2 linked regions of the Drosophila melanogaster genome follow. The protein of the gene in region 2 purifies or fractionates together with the protein of the main gene of each other region. This does not show direct contact. Each region holds a gene or a part of one and is shown on either strand. Other genes may lie near its edges.

The links.
Region 1: the proteins of rib (region 2) and CG5003 purify together in Drosophila melanogaster (affinity purification with mass spectrometry, with the first as the bait; one large-scale study listed by BioGRID). This does not show direct contact.

Annotation. Positions count from the first base shown.
Region 1 is NT_033777.3:27,911,792-27,920,638, forward strand, and holds CG5003 (uncharacterized protein), read right to left. Parts: upstream 4,726-8,847; 5' UTR 4,638-4,725; coding exon 4,357-4,637; intron 4,272-4,356; coding exon 4,001-4,271; intron 3,943-4,000; coding exon 3,820-3,942; intron 3,767-3,819; coding exon 3,605-3,766; intron 3,552-3,604; coding exon 2,247-3,551; 3' UTR 1,986-2,246; downstream 1-1,985. Other genes in the region: mil (milkah), read left to right, coding at 777-1,009, 1,075-1,198, 1,263-1,491, 1,551-1,636, 1,691-1,870; mRpS22 (mitochondrial ribosomal protein S22), read left to right, coding at 5,211-6,392; Boh1 (buddy of Hmr 1), read right to left, coding at 6,467-7,492; CG12259 (uncharacterized protein), read right to left, coding at 8,124-8,847.
Region 2 is NT_033778.4:19,266,392-19,274,861, reverse strand, and holds the start of rib (ribbon), read right to left. Parts: upstream 4,785-8,470; 5' UTR 4,076-4,784; intron 1-4,075.

The DNA.
Region 1 (8,847 bases), on a different chromosome or scaffold from region 2:
CCCGCCGCCACTGGCCCACTCATAATTTCATTTTGAAATGTTTGCCTAAGCGACAATTTCACTCTTTTTTTTCACTTTTTTCTGTTGTTTTTCACAGCCGGACATATGGCACTAAGCCTGGCCCACATTATTAAAACCAGCGACAAAAGACAAGCGACTCTCGGATAGACCAGAAACTGGGTCCACGGTCCATTTAACAGACTCCAGGAGGCGATGGCGATGGCGATGGCGATGGCAATGGCTGAACCTGAACCCTTGGCGGCACAGCACTCAGCACGTGATTTGCATACACTTAGGCCAGGCTGGCGGCACCCAGTCCAAGCTTTTGGCCCACACTTAATTACATGCCAAATGAAAAGTTGGCGGAAGCAAACAAAAAATTTTGGGGAAACCAAAAATATATAAACAGGAAAAGAGCAGGAATTAAATGTGCGTTAAATTGCCAATAAACATGGCCTGCATCTCAATGGGCAAAGTAAGGCGAAAGGGGTGACTAAAACAGCAATAACACGAGGGTTTAAAAATGTAGCTTAAAAAAAAAGAATAATAAATTGCTTAATATTTTCTAGTACATCTAGTTAGTTCCAGCACTTTAGTGAAAAGCGGGCCTTGCCTTTTGTGCTGGGAGTTTTGGGAAACTGATAGAGCTACTTTTCATTCCCACAACGGCAGTCACAGCGAAAACGCACACGTCCAAATTTTATACTTGAACAAAACCAAATCACTTCAAGAAATATTTTTTTTATTTTTCTTTTGATTATCGTGTCGAAACATAAATGGAAACTGTGCGAAATCGAAACCCTCCGCGGATGAAGTACACCGCTCCACCGAAGATGGAATCGGATTTAAACTTCACCGAGAAGGAGAAGAAAACTCTTACCGAACTGAAGCAGCTCTATTTGGAGACCATTAACCTGGATGTGGCTCTGCAGCGCGACATTTACAATATCGAGAAGAAGTACGAGGATAAGCACAATATCATATTTGATAAGCGCAAGAAGATTCTAGAGTAAGTCCATTAATGGTGTTTGGTTAAACAAGATCTCAATTCCCCCAAAAATCCCATCGGTGCAGTGAGTTTAGAAAGCAAAACCACGGCGACGTGGAAACCAATCAGAGCGTGCCCAACTTTTGGCTGAGGGTTCTCAAAGCATCGTACACCGAGTTCATCAGCAAGAGGGATGAGAAAATATTAGAGGTATGTTATGGATAGATCCGATTTGAAGGATATTTAAATTTTAATTGAAATTTTTCCCGCGCAGTGCTTAAGCGACATCCGTTCTCGGCTGTACAACGAACCCGTGGTGAAGTTTGATATCGAATTCCACTTCGATCCCAATGATTACTTTACCAACACGGTGCTGACCAAGACATATTTCCTCAACTGCCTGCCGGATCCAGACGATCCGCTCGCATATGATGGCGCCGAGATCTACAAGTGCGAAGGCTGCGTCATCGACTGGAAGCAGACCAAGGACCAGACCAAAACCGGTAAGCCATCTGGGAGCATCAAATTTCACAGATGTTAGTTGAATTCACTCATTGACCAGAAAATCAAGAGCCGTCGTTCTTTGAGTTCTTCTCGCCGCCGCTTTTGCCAGAAGATACCCTTGACCCCAACTACTGTGACGTCAATGTAAGATTGAATATCAGCGATCTGCGATCCTTTCACATGCATCTCCTCCCACAGGCTATGCTGCAAAACGATTTTGAGGTGGGCTTCTATCTAAAGGAGCGCGTGATTCCCAAGGCGGTGATCTTCTTCACCGGCGAGATTGCCGATTGTCAGAGCTCCAGCGGATCGGAGACCGAGTCGGAAGATACCGAGGACGAGTCGGATGCCGAAGAGGAGGATGGCGTCGACAAGTAAACATTTTACACCGCTTATATACAGTTTACATACATTTTTAACTCGAGTCACCGAACTATTGGCCTGTCCTTACCCACTACATACCAACCAAATAAACATTTCATTATACATATTTACCAAAAGGATCTCGCGCGCTCTTTTTAATGCCTAGCTAAAGGAATTGAATTGTGGTTTTGATTTATACAGTGCGTTTAGCCTGGCGTGTATATATTACAAGGACTCGAATAGTCAAACGTAATACTAGATGGCTGAGCTACAGCACTCGCTTGTAGCCAGCGTTGTGGATCCATCGGCTTGGCCATGTCGTCTTTTTTCTTAAAAAAAAATAAAATAATCCAGCACGGCCCACTTCGACGGAATCTTTACAAACAATATTCTAAGGAGCCACCACCTCCTGTGGCGGTGGCGATTTCGGTGGCTGCTCGTCGTCGGCGCGCGGCGGTGGCTGCAGCATCACCACCACCGTGTCATCCTCTTCCTGTGTCTCCAGCTCCGGAAGTCTTTCAAACTCCTCCAAGTGATTGGCGACCACTTCGCATTTCGGTTTGGAGATCTTGAAGCGCCGAATTGCCGGAAGCGTAATGCTGGTGCCACTAACATCGATATACACCAGATTCGGAGAGCACTGCACCAGGTGCTCCAGGGTATGATTTGTGATGAGATGGTAGTTTCGCAACGACAGTCGCTCCAGTTTATTGTCTGGCGAGCGATTGATGTTCCGGATCCAGACAACGTCCGGTTGCACCGGTCGATCAGCTCGGCCAAAGCTATACATCGCCCGATCGGTGACATAGTATTGAGGTGTTGTCTGACAGGAAGGCGGACGTGGGCGCACTCGTCGAGCATAGTCGCGATCCAGTGGCTCGAGCATGTTCCAAAACATCGGATGCTGAACAACCTGATCGTAGTTCGGACGCGGATGCGTACGATGGCGTCGCGTCGGCATCAGAACATTCATCGGGAGTGAGAATTGTTGATTGACATAGATATACCGTTGCTCCGTTCCCTGCGCAAATACGGCCACAACACTACGCTGTTGGCGCGGGTTAGCGTTCTCAGCGTCGGGCACGTAGATGTAAGCGCGCGGGGGTCTAGGATCCAAGCCGGGACTCTGCCCGGGAGCCTCGATATTGGCTGCATCAACTGCAATTGGTGCATCGGCTGCATTGGCTGCATCGGCTGCATGCGGAAGTGGCGGCAAGTCGACGCCTCCGCTCAAAGGTGCAGCGTTGCTATGACCATTTCTGGGCAACGATAAAACCTCCAATTTGTCCGACGAAGACCCTGAGGTGGATGATGTGTCCTCATCATCGGATTCTGATGGTGCTCGTATTCGTTTCGCCTGAAGATCCTGACCCTCCGAAGGAGGCTCAGTTGGCACCGGCGACTTCTCCTCCTTTCTATCGCTGCAGTTGTCCAAATTGAACGCAACCTTGCATGCACGCAGATGCTCCATGGCGGCCCGCGATGTGGACGGCTCGTCATCGCTAAGCACTTTCAGTGAATCAGGCTGCGGGGAAGCAGCTTCGTCAGTGGCGTTGCCGTTGGTATTTTTTTTAGCAACGGCTTGTTTGGAGTGCAGGATCTGTGGCGACTCAAGCAGCAGTTCCTTGAGATTCTCGATAGCGCTAAAACACTGCAGATCTGAGTTGTTGATGGGCGTCTGGCGAAGATCTAGTGACTGAAATAAATAACCCTTTATAAAGAATATTCGCCGATTGCACCTATGCCAACCTCTAGTTTTTGGAAACCGAAACGTGCCGCCATGCTGCCATAGGGCACAAACTTGCATAGCGCCTGACAGCCCTTAAGACTAAGACGCCGCAAGGAAGGTAACTTCGACAGGCCCATAATATAATAGGGCTCGAACCAGCTGTTGTCCTCAATACTGAGATCCTAAATAAGACGGGGTTAGGCTATTCATTGGACTGTCGTTCGCTCAAACTCACCTCTAGATCAAGCAGATGCAGCTCTATGGAGTAAAATATGCTTTTTGGCGTGTCGCCGACCCTAACGCTACAGTCCTTTAGCTTCAGACGCCTCAGAGTGGCCGGGAACTCAGTTATGTGTATCTGAAGAAAAGATAAAATTGGGGTAGACCAGGGAAACTTGCGAGATGCCAGCACTCACGTATTCGAAGTCCAGGCTGACGCCCTCCAGCTCCAGCACTTTAAGCTGTACAACCCTGGGGAAAACGGAGCTTAGCGTTTGGGTGAACTGGCGGAATTCGCCTGCAACATGCTGCGAGGACGGAGGTCCGCAGATTTTAATGGTGTGTGTCTTTTCGGTGGCTCGTCCAAGAATCTCTTCTAGGATGCCCATAGGCAGGGGCCCGTTGCTTAAGTCTATGTGATGATAGAAGCGGTGATCCAGCAGGAGGTTTTCAAAGCGCGGCGAGCAACTGGAATATTACGGAATGTTATAATATGGAAAGGACATGGAAATCTCAGCGACGCAGAGATCTTTGTTGATAGCGGACTACTTACTGCATCACCGCCAGAATGGAGGACGTGTCCAGGTACTGGAAGATCTCGAAGAGCAGCTCATCACAGAAGTCCATGAGGTTGCACTCCGTTTCCCGGTCGAGGGATTCCTTATGCTCCTTCTCCCTTTTGCGCTGTTTTATCTCCGGCTCCTCCTCGGTAGGGATTTGTGGCAGCACTGGCTGCACGGGCACGGCGGCCAGCTCCCGCCCACAACGTTCGTTGTCCGGGAAGCGGCGCTTAGGCGCTGCAAGGCACGTACTGCCCAATTCGGCCTGTTCCATGCTTGGGCTGCTCCTGCACTTTATTGCCAATTTTCGCCAGCAGCTTTTTTTCCAGCTAAATGCAATTGGTCAAGTGTGACCGCAGTCAGATCCCGAGATAAGCCGCTAGTAGGGGTATTCCTATGTCGAAGAGATGAAACTGGCTTCCGAATTTCCCGGTAATTTTTAATGTCGTTTTTATTATTATATTATTTTTTTTCTTGATTATTACGATTTGATACTAAAGGCGGTGGCACTAGCTGCTCATAGTTATACAATTGAGTCGTCTGGTAAAATGGGAACAATAACAAGTAGTTAATAATCGTTTAATTCTTATGTAGATAATAAAGTTGCCTATTTTGCTATTTTCCTATTTCAAACAAATATTGCATATTATGAATGAAATTTAAAAATAAGGCGCATTACGCATGTGCATGTGCATTAAAAAAGTTATTATACAAATAGAATAAACACATTAAATTAAATAAGATTCCTGTTGTCATTACTAGCAAGCAGTGTTGGAAAACACCGTGCTGCCCTCACTAATTTCTACACCCGTCTCGTGTATTTTTGTGCCTGATTTACTGACTGAAAATGCACCTGCTGCGGAGCCTGCGCCAGCTGAATGGCCTCCAAGGAGTGCGCCAAGCTATCCGGCAGGTGTCCTCGGCGCCCACCAAGCCCGCCGCCCTGCAGTACGAGCGCGATCCGCAGCCGCTTTTCACGGATGCCGAAACCCAGCGGCTGCTCCAGTCCATGACGCAACTGAACTTGGACAAGGTGTATCGGAAGCGCACGGTGCCGGACAACAGCAGCGAAACGAAGTTCATGAGCAACGAGCAGCTGGACAACGAGTTCCAGAACTTGGTGGTGCGGGCTCAGCAAATTCTGCAAATGCCACCCATTGTGCAGATCAAAAAAGATGTGGAGCGGGTGATAGCCAAGGATACGGCGCTGAAGGACTTCGCCAACTCCAAGTTCGTATTCACGGACATCACCTTCGGCCGACGGCAGTCGGAACGCAAGGTAATCGTCCGGGATATGGACGGAACCTTGGCCTACGCCACTCTTGATACCACGAAGCGCATGAACCAGTTGTATTTCCCGCTGGAGGGTCGCCAGTCATATACTCCACGAATGTTCGCGCTGGAGGAGCTGCTGGCCAAGTGCTTGGCGGAGCACAAGTACGAGTTCATCCTGGATCGACTCTTGGTGCAGTACGAGCCACATGAGCCGGAGTTCCACAACATTTCAGCGCGTGTGTTCGAGCATCTCAACGAGTCCAAGGAGTTCGATCTTCTGCGCTCCACCCGCCACTTTGGACCCATGGCCTTCTTCTACGCTTGGCACCGCTGCATCGACGACCTGCTGTATGACATGATCCGTCGGGATTATCTGCACAATGCCGTGGAGCTGATTGCTCTGAGCTACAAGCTACACAACATCCCAGTGGAGTATCAGGCAACGCTGACCGAACTGGGCAAACTGCATGCCACGCCGGCGGAAAGTGCCCTGGCGGAGCTAAGAAGCGTCTTCCGACGACATGACAATAAGCAGAACATTGAGCAGGAGATCCATACGGCCATTGGCAAGACGGAGCACGATTTCGCCGCCGATGAGATCAGCCTGAAGTTCATTGAGCAGTACATCGCCAGCGAACATGCGCTGAAGAAGGTGCAACTGGAGCTGGCGGTGCAGACGCTTAAGGAAGTTAACCGGGAGAAACTGATGCTGTTCCAGGGACTGAAAAAGGCTCACGGCGTCCAGGCTTCGTAGGATCTATTCGCTTTATTGTTATCGATTTCTATGTACTAATAAATACCAGCTAGGTCAAGATTTCTATACGCTGTTCATAGCTCCTTCTTGAGGACCCTGGACAGCCGTCTAAAATGGCCAAGGATGCACTGTCTCCGGTGCCGCAGGCATACCCGCTCGCTGCTGAAACGCTTCAAGCAAACTGAGCAACGTCTGGGATCACCTCTTCCATTGGGCAACCCGTTGTGTTCGCGAAATAGGACGACCACTTTCGCCTTGGCACAACTCTGTTCTTTTTTTCGGTGTACCAAAAGAGAGGTGGTGGTCTTGAAGTAACGTTTGCACTGAAGACATCTGTAGCACTTCCTGCCGCTATGGTTTCTCAGGTGCCTGAGCAACTGCATCTCTGAGTGGCTCATGGCGTTGCAGAGTAGATGTGGGCATTTAAAGAGCATCGATGACTTCCTGGGCGCTAGAGCGGGACAGCTCAGACTGTGTTGCTTCAATTGTTTCTGGTGGTCCAGACGCTGACCACAGCGAAAGCACAGAGCACCAGGTCCATAGTGCGCGGTCATGTGGCTCTGGTGCTCCAGCAAGGTTTTGGCCACATCGCCGCACACCGCGCACTCCATCATGCCGTTGGGAAATATGAATGTGTTCTCGCTCACGTAGGTGAGAAATTTGTCGGAATTGGAGGCCTCAGAACCGGTATCCTTTGGCCGTTCCTCTGGTAAATACCACTCCTCCGAATCGCGACGGCATTGAATGCCCGCATCCTTAGTGCCCGCATTCTCTGTTTGAATGGCGCGCTCTCTGCGCGGCACCATAGCCTCGTTCGCAAACATTCCAGTGACCTCGTTGAGTCTCTTCTGCTGTACGGATTTCTTGGGAGACTCTGTAGCGCCTCCATTGGTGATCGGGGCATGCAGTTCTTTCACTGGAATGCCATTCTCTATCGCGTACTTGCGTGTCACCCACTTGGTCTCCACGCACACGTATTCCGGCAGCTCGAAGACGGGCAAAGGGATAGACTTCATCTGAACAGGGCTGTGGCGTGGTGGTTTTCCGGCGGATATCGGTTGACCGGCCAACGCCACCTTTGCCGGTTGCGCCGGGTACATTTCGTTGGTTCGGGGTTCTCAAATGGCACTAAATCGATACGTATCCGAAAAATGAATTCACATTTTACTTGGAACTTATTTTATTTTTGTTATTAATTACGCTTGCTTTTTATAAAAAGACGCGAATTTTACTGGCGCAAAAAATTCAATGTTGCTATTGGTGCTGGCGGGCTAGCTTTTTTCCCGCCATATCCGACTTCTTTTGACTATTATGACAGTTGGAATATTAAAAAATTAAAATAAAATATAAATCTAACAGTTCTTTTTTCATGGCAATCAATACGAAGTGCTGAATAACTGCATGTTCTCTGATTATACTGTGTTTATAAACTAAAATTTCTACCAAATTTGTTTAGCAACAAGTTCTCTTAACAGTGCCATTTTAAATAATTAGGGGTATTCTTATGAGAAGTATGACATTTTCTAATGAATTCAAAATTGTATTAAGCAAACATAAATTTGTTATATATTTTATATTTCATTCAATGCCTATTATAATAGTTTAATTAAACTGATTGTAAATCTGGTGGAAAAATCAAATAAAAATTGTAGTTATTTTTCGTTTGTTTTGATGTATTAAATCAATCATTATTATATTGTACAATTATTCGGGCAGAAACTGCCCTAAGCACTACTTTTTACTCTTATCCTTGTCCTTGATGGTGTACTTGTCGTAGGACTTGGTGGGATCGTAGGGCTCCCATCGGCTGGCTGGGAAGATGTGCTTGTTGCGCTCGTACCAGGAGCGGAGGAGTACCTTTCCGGCATGGGACTCCTCCTTCTCCACGGAGGCGTCGCTTATCATGCGCACATCGTCGTGGACGTCGAACTGGAAGAGCGGGCCGGATTTGCCGCGTGCCTTGGTCACGATAAAGTCGTAGAAGGAATAGTGGTGCGGCAGGATCAGATCCTCCTTGACGTACATCAGCTGGTCGGCCATTACGGTCTTCAGTTCGATGAACTCCTTGCGCAGCAGCTCCAGGCACTTCTGCAGAAACTGGTAGATGGAGTTGCCCTTCTTCATCAGCACGTTCCGCCGATGGCCGGAGCCATCCCAGTAGCTGAACGTGATGGAGATGTCCTCGTCCTTCAGCTCCGCCTGCTGCATTACCCATTCTTGACGCAGCTGCTCGCGCAGTCTGTTCTCCTGCTCCTCGCGCTCGCGATCTGGCAGAAAGGAAGTGTCCACGTCAGGATTCTTGCATATCTTCTTCTTCTTTATGGGCAAAATGTCTTCCTTGATCTCCGTCCACTTGGGCTTGGGCTGATCCTCCTGCTTAATCTTCAGCTGTTTCTTATCGTGATCCTCGTCGTCCTCCTCCTCCTCCTCCTCGTCGTCGTCCAGGTTGAAGGAC
Region 2 (8,470 bases):
TGTAAAATGTCTTAGGGTATCTCGTTTTTTATTTTTCTAAAATAGCATTCTTTGGGGTTGAGGTTTTCAAGGAGACCTTAGGTAATGGACTTTCTAAAGAACAAAAGCTCTGCAGCCCTTTTTAACATTATAAAACTTGCGATAACAGTGAGTTCAAATGAGAATCGAATACAAAATACTGCATTGTAAAAAAATTAATTACAAAATTAAGTTTTTTTTTTTAATTTTTCATAAAAATCAAGTTCACAAAAAGAACATTTCCCTATTTGCAATAGTCATCTGTACCAGCTGTACCCCACACATTTCTGGCCACAGCTCAACTTACATTTTTTAATTGTTGATCATTAGGTTTTTCATCGTCGTTTCCTCTGTGTATCAAGCGCCTCCTCGTCCCGCCCACCTTCACTTTGGGTTGCCAAACCCATTAATCATGTTTGGAAATTAAGGTCAACCGCATTTCACGGGGCCATTTTCCGTCCACCCGTGTTTTCGAATGCATTCTTTGTTTTTTTTTTTGTTTTTTTTTTTTTGGCAGCTCCGCGAGATCGGCCAACACTATCTTCACCCGAGAGTCCGAAAAACTAGTTCGCAAGTGCATTCACCTCCCCCCGCCCCCGCGGAATTCGGCTCAAAGCTGATAGTGCAAGAAATGTGTGTGTAAGTACGGGCATAAAAAAGCGGAAAAGTTGCCGCAACTCGGACTCCATAATCTGGACTCGAGCATTTATGGACAAGAGCCCCGGGGCTTTACTCTTTTTAACTACAATGCTTCCATATATGAGCCCCGACCCCTTTCCACACTTGTAATCTTATCATCATTACCCCCAGCGCCTGTCAATGTCCCAGTGAAAGTGTAAAATATGAATTCCAAGAGGCTGTAATATGCCGGACTAACGAAATATTGCATCTTTATAAGAAAAATATAAGTGAAAAATAAAGAAAATAAAATAGTAGCTATACTAAATGGCAAAAATCAACAATATAATAAACCTACACTTTGAAATCGTTTAGTTTTGCAGGTTCTTAAATTATTACGTAAAAGAGTTGTTTTTGATTTTAATGACCTTAAGTTACATTTTGATGATTTATTTATTTGTTAGCTTAATTAATAAATTAAAAACCTATAAAGATGCTTAGTTAGTTCGAGGAAACTCCACGAAACTCAACATGTGTCGATCACAGAGAATTTCCTTAAATGGATTATCCTCTGGTCAGTGTTGACTTTGCTGACTTTTTGACTAACTGCTGAGAATGTGGCTAATACCGGAGATAAAGACGTTTTCCCAGCTCAAAGCCAATACCGCTTATTATGGGGGATTAGCAGGGAGAAATCCGCACATAATCCAACCGCAAGACATTCGCTCAATGAAGCGAAGGACTCTTAATGAACTGCTAGTATCCTTGTATCCTGTTGACTACCTGCTCGTTGGACATGTGTGGATCCTAGCAAAAAAGAAAGGCCCTGACATGATTTAACAATCAAGTAATTCTTTGTTCATCGAGCAGCACTAATTTGCAGTCATCTGCTCAAAATGGCATTGTTCTAAAGTGCTTCTTATCACCTCTGAGTTTGCACTCTCAGCATAAATATGAATTTGAATCTGAATTTGCATTTCGTATTTGTGTTTGCAAACTGCACGACAAATGTTTTTCCATCTACGCATTTTCGCGATTAGTATTATCAGCTCTTTGTTTGGCTGGTCAGCATATGGCAATAAAAACCAGTGGATTCGAAACCTTTGACCTGCTCGAAGATTTTTATGGCGTTAGCGAAAGGGTTTCGTCTGAGATTTATGGGTTTATGGCTTTTCGCAAAAATGTGCCAAAATAGTTCGAAGGAAATGTGGACCAGCGTTTTACGATGCCTAACCCTTTGCTTCTTGGTCATTACCATTGAGCGACTATCGTGAAAAATATTTGCATGCGAAAAAAGGAAGAAGCGGATTTTCCAGGAAAAGCCTTGCTTTGGGTTTCAATCAATGTCTGGACTTGATAGCAGCATTTGTCATGCAAAGTAAAAAATGAATGCGAAAAAAAGAACACACACGCACAAACGCATCGAGGTTGCGTTTTTCCGGCTTTTCCCAGGCCAACCCTTTACCTTTAGCCCTCGTATCTTTTGCTTTTACCTGGGCATCTTTCGAACGAGATGCTTAGATTCTTGAGACTTTTTCAGTTGCTGAAGTGTCGCCTCTTAGAGCATCTTTGAAGTAGCAGCGGCACGTGAAAATTCTCTCCAACACAAATGGCAATTAGCGTGGCTCAAAGAAAAAAACAGGAGCCGCCGCCTACGATGGACAATGGGCAGCCTGCAGAGTTTGGTTCAGCGACAGGATCGGCAGGACCTGCCATAAAGATCGCCGCTCGCACTCGTGTGCTAATGGAGGCGAAAATTTTGAGATATCTCTCCCCTTTCCACCCAGTGTTTACACAAAACTCACGCGGCGGAAGGGCAAAAATACGAATACTATCTAGAAGATACACACTACACTCAGAGAAAAGTAGGGTTTTTAAAATATATCTTCGGAAAGTTGTATTTTTAATCGTAAGTTTATGTTTCAGCTTCCAGAAAAAGAGTTATTTCAAAATTTACATTTTTTCGAGTGTACTTTCCTGTGTGTGGGTAGAGCAACAGTCGAAAAACAAACAAAAACTGCAGCCCGGGGAAATTAATAAAAAAAAATGCAACAAGAAGACCACGAAAAAATTCAACGGAGAGAGGGAAAATTAGACAAATACGAAGCAGCGGAGAAACGAAAACGCTGGAAATTTATCGCGCGCGTCATTCGCTGCAACTAAGGAAAGTGGCACGTAGACCGCGACTTCGTAGAGCGATGGTGGTGTTGGTGGGTCCGCTGGCGGGGTTATGGTCGGGGGGAGGGTGGGGGGCGGACTACGAATGGGTCATTGCACTTTTGCAACGCACTCACAGATACGAGAGCATAGCATACAACACACAGATACAGATACATTTACAGGGCCGACAGATAGCAAAGCAAAAGGCAACATTTAAACGAGAATTGTGTAAAAAAGGCACGAAAAATTAGGCGAAAGCAAACAGAAAGAAGGCGAAACAGGAAAAGAGGGGAAGAGCGGCACAGGGGGAGCTGGGTGAAGAGCGGGAGAAGGCAAACAAGATACAGATACATCTGTGCATGTGTGCAAAGTGTGTGGGGGAAGTGGCGATGGGGGGCTACCAGTGCAACTGCAACTTTGCATGGGTCGGCCATTTTGTGATCGTTTTCGCTGGCGCAGATACAAAGATATAATCTTTACAGTGAGAGAAAAGTTTATTGACAAACCTTTTAGTGTAATTTACGAATTACATATATATTATATATATTAAATACCCCATAATTCTCTAAGAATATATGTTTTCTTTAGTTTTGCTTGTGAGAAAAGTCAAAATTGAGTTGTTGACACATAAAAACAGTGCGTAAATTAAATTTTTTCTGTGTGCTAAAGACTTTATTTCTATGGGGCGTATGGCGTCAGATATAAAACTGATGTTTGCAATGATCGTTTGTATGTAACTCAAATCGCGTTTCCCGGGCGACAGTCCCTTCACGTACATATGTACATATTTATTTATATGTATATGTAGATATGACAAAGTCGTTGCAGATCCGGCCGTAGATATGCATATGCATAGATATAGATACAAAAGTACATATGCTCTCCATGAAGCGCGCAGATACGAATGCGTTGGCTATAAATAGCGAGCCATGCCATTTGTGCCGCCAGCGCCACTCGAGTGTGGCGGTTGCAGTTGCAGTTTGCCGCTCAATGAACATGTGGAAATTCGGGAAATGGAAAGCCGACGACCACGCCCCCGTTAAGTACAGGCTAGCATTTTTCGAGCGGCGCATGGGGTGCATTTTCCACGATGTTTTCACCAAAAACACGCTCGCACACAAACGCACGCACAAATGCGTTATTTTATTTTTAGCAATTTGAGGGAAATTTCAAGTCGAGCGTTGTGAATTTTTGTTCGAATTTATACGGCCATGGTCACATGGCAAGGGAAGGTGGGGGCGAAACCGCCCTCCATAGAATACGTCTGTGTTGTACTTACCTTGTTTTTCCGCTGTTGTTTTATTCACTCCATGTACATATAGTATCTGCAAGATCCAGCGACGTTTTTCGGGGTTTGTTGAGTGCGTAGAACACGTTTTACAAATGTATCTGCTGGCTGATCAGAACGCCGATTCTAACCATAATTCGATTCACATTTTCGCACATAGTCTGGCCACGTTTTCACTGGTCCTAAGTCAGCCAACATTTTAACCGGCATTATTGTGTGTTTGCTTCGATTTTCACTATATTTCACTGCAGTTTTCTTTGGTTTTTTTTTTGGCTTGGATCGAAGTGAACTCTTTGCCTTCGAATGGCAAAATGACGCAAAGTTACTAAACAACGAAAAAAATAGTATGAAAAAAGGGCAATACAACTGATTCTCGGAAGTGTTTCAGTATTCACAAGCATTCGGATGGGCACATATAACCGTGTATCTGTGTATCTGTTAGTTCGTGTATCTCGAAGGGCGGGGCAGGGTTGGCAGCGGCGATTTACATGTGTCGCTCTGCTGTAAGTTCTGGACAGACCGCCAAACTTCTGCGGCGGTACGAGCACTGACCTTGAGTTCAGGCGTTTACCAAAGGGACTGCGAGTGGAACTGGGCTTCTCGGTTTCTCTGTTTCTGAGTGGGGACTGTATAGCCGACTGAATCTGTTTTTTAATTCTTTCGCCGATTCTCGACTGCAGAGAGAGAGCTCCGCAAAAATGGCGTGTGTGTAGAAAAAAAGCTTCGACTGTACATAATATACTAGTACATAATGCCACTGACTCACAAATTGAGCAAAAAAGCAAAGTTCCCAAACTAGCGAAAAAAAAATAAATATAAATTTGGGCCTCTGGAGGGGGGAAAGCTCTTTCGTCGAGCATAGAATTATCATCGGCCCTTGGGCCCACGTAAGAATTTTGCAAATATATCAACACAGTCATGAGTCGAAAACAACAATCGACAAATAAAAAAATAACCCGCCAGTTGGCCGCTTGTTTATCTGTGAAGCGCTTTTCAGGGTCACTCTTGATTATTACACAATTTTTGTTTACAGCAAAATGCGGCGCAAATTTTTGTAATCTATATTGGTATGTGTGTGTGTGTGCGTGCGTGTATGGTTTTGGTTCTCGAGTTGAGTTTGTTGTTTACCACGAAAACAAATTCGGTGGGCCAGGGTCAAAAAGCGGCTACGTGAAAATGCGGAAGGACGGATCGCTCAATGACAATTACAGTGAAAAGCCTTGCTAACCAATGAGCGCAGAATTGTTGTTCTATTTAAAGTGTAGAACCATTTAGTAAATGCAAAAAAAAAGATATTATGAAGTCAGAATCTTAAAAATGAGCTATCTATCTATCTATTTCTATCTCTCAGATAGATAAGTGGTGGAAGTATCTGATGGATTTAAAGGTAAAGGAAGCCCTTTAAATATTTTACCCCAGACGTGAAAGCAACAAGTTGCGTCAACAGAACCACAGCCCAAACCCAAATCCCACTCACATAGATACGTTTACACACACACTTTGGTGCGAAAGCACGCCAGAATTGAGTAACAATAACAACATTCCCGCCGTCCCTAAACTTGAACTTGAATTTCGCAGCGAAAACAAAAATTCAAGAGCAAAATGCCGGCAAAAAACAACAAAAAGCGTAAAAAAACAACGCAAAAACTAGTTGCAAACAATAACAATTTCGCGTAAACAGTCAGATGCTCTCGCTCCCTCGCTCTTTGGAACCGATGGTGACCGAAGTGGAGCCGAGGGTCTTCGGTTGCCGCTCGGCAAATTGTGCAAGCTTTCGATTCGCTTTTGCGACTCGCGAATTCCCCCGAAATTCGCAAGCCGACCAATCAGAGAGCATTTTTGCACACAACAAAAAGAGCAAAACGAAAGCTTTTCGCCAAGTGTGTGTGCGCTGCTTTGTCGCAAGTATAGGTGAGCGGGCTTTTGCTTATTTTTGGCACATCGCGTATCGCCATTTTTGCGCAAAAAGTCAAAAGCTGTCTTGACGTCGTGTTTTGTCGCTTTGAGGTGATTTAAAGAATCGCCAGACACGTGGTTCTTAGTTGGGGAATAGAACACGAATGCGCGGAGCTTACTGGGCGAAAGAATCTAACCGGGAGAATTCACCAGCCACGCAGAAGAGCTTTCTGGAAAGATCGGGAGCTATAAGACTTGTTGTGGTCTTGGTAATGACGTTTAAGATCTGGAAACATTACATATAGCATTTAGTTTTTCGATAACTTCTTAAAACTTACCTTTATTTAAAGAGTGGTTATACGATTTCGTATAAAGCTAATCGATCCATTATTGCCAACTTTTTAAAATATATAACTGCTTACATGTTTCTTTTTCTGGTATATGAATTACTGATAATTTCCTGTTTTTATTCAATATTAAGTGCGTGATAAGATCACTAAACCATTGTTACCATAACCTTGAATAAATTTAACATAGTTTACGAAAGTCTAGTGCGATTAGTATTATAACATTCTGCAAGAGAAAGCTTTTATAAATTGTTTATTCATTAAGCTTTGCACAATAATAGAGCAGAAGAGATTTCTTTCTGTTACTAAAATTTTGGCAATAAACAAATTCCGATGAATTTGCTTCTCTTATGTATATATGTAAGCTTTTCTATGCAAAGTATCTAGTCAGCTTTACTGACATTAGAATTTTGCGAAGCAAAGCTTTTTGAAAAGTTAGCACTTCATAGAGGCTTGTCTGATCTAACGATCTAGTAAAGATATGAACCAGCTCTGCGCATAAAGAATTACGTATATAAGATGGCAAAGAAAGGGATTCCCATGGAATTGCAGAGCCAATTTAGTCCTTTGTTCGACACTATCATTAGCCCTCAGGTCCTTTCCCCCAATTGATGCAACCTGCTGAACACACGATCAGCTGCGATTGCAACTGCGATCCTGACTTGCAACATGTTCCCTTTTTCACCGATTTTCCTTTTTACTCCGTCCGTGTGACTTTATCGTGTGATTCTACGTCTGCGCCCCTTATTATTCTCTCGATCGAATCAAAAAGTTAACTTTTCCCAGGGATTTTCAGGCATTCGGGGATTTCATCCCGCATTTGTGCGTGTGCGAGCATCCTGTTGCATGTGGATGCGGCTGTGGCAGTGGCCCCCGCCTCTTCTTGCAACAGGAGCAGCAATCGATTTGGGCATTCGTTTTGGTTTGTCCTTCGCCCATGGTGCATAGTCCTTCGTCTATAGGATCGGGATATTCCCAGCTCTTTGTGCGCTGCTGCTGCCACAATTTCTCGTCATTCTTCTGGTGGCTCTTTGTTGGGTTATTGAACTATTGCTTCCCTTTGGGTGCACAGGTGATAATTTTTTGGGAATTTACTGCGCCATCACTTGTCGCAGCAGTTTTGGGGCAAATGGAAAACGGGTATACAGCCATATAATCGCATTAATCGCATGTTCGGCCAATATTAGTCTAACCCTTCTCGGGCTTCTATTTTCCGGATCCGTAGATGCTGGTTTCCTCGAGTTTGTCCAAGAATTTCTCACACATTTCACGTACTCGGGAGTGCAACTAAGTCAACAATTGCACGGCAGGTATCCGCATCTTGAGGCCCAAAGACAGGCGCAAATTATTTTGACAAGTGGCCGAGAAATTGTCCTCCATTGTCCAATGCCACCAACAAAGACGATTGTTGGTCTGCTGCTGGCTGAAAATGAAGAGGCGAACATCTCGGCTGCTGCAGTTGCTTTCTGAGTGACAGGCCATTATTATTATTATCTTGGGATCATGGAGATTGCAGACCAAGTGTCTTCCCTGATCGCTCGCATTGGATAAATATTGCAGCCCATTAATTACAATCAAAGTGCCACAAGCACACTCGAGGGCAATACTATCGCTCAATGTCTAATGACAACGTGAGTCGATCAATTGCCAAACTGTTTAACCCCTTTGTGGCTTTATTTGCATTTATAACGAAGTCTGTGAAACATGTCAATTTGGTTTTTTTTGAGTTCCTAAGTCTTTAACATTAATTAATTGGGTTTAGAAATTATTCTTTTGCCATTTAAATGTATTCAAAAAGATAAAGATTTTACATGTTTGGGTTCATTTAAAAGTAAAAATAATAATGATCATTGTTGGTTTCCAAACCACAAGCATTCTTATTGGCCAAAACTTAACTTTAATTGCTGCTACTGAACGTCGTTTCTAAAACACGAACTTATTTAACCACCGAAGGTCATTATAGCCAATTTAAACTGTGCTCGCTGGTACAGTCGCCGCTCTATCTATTTTCGGTTTTTATTATTTTTTCGGCGCTGTGCGGCCGGAAATCGCCAGCAATTGCACGTCCCATGTGCGTGTCTTCCAAAAATATGTGTGTGTTTTCCACTTCTGTTTTTCCCGTTTTCCTGCATTTTCCGTCGCT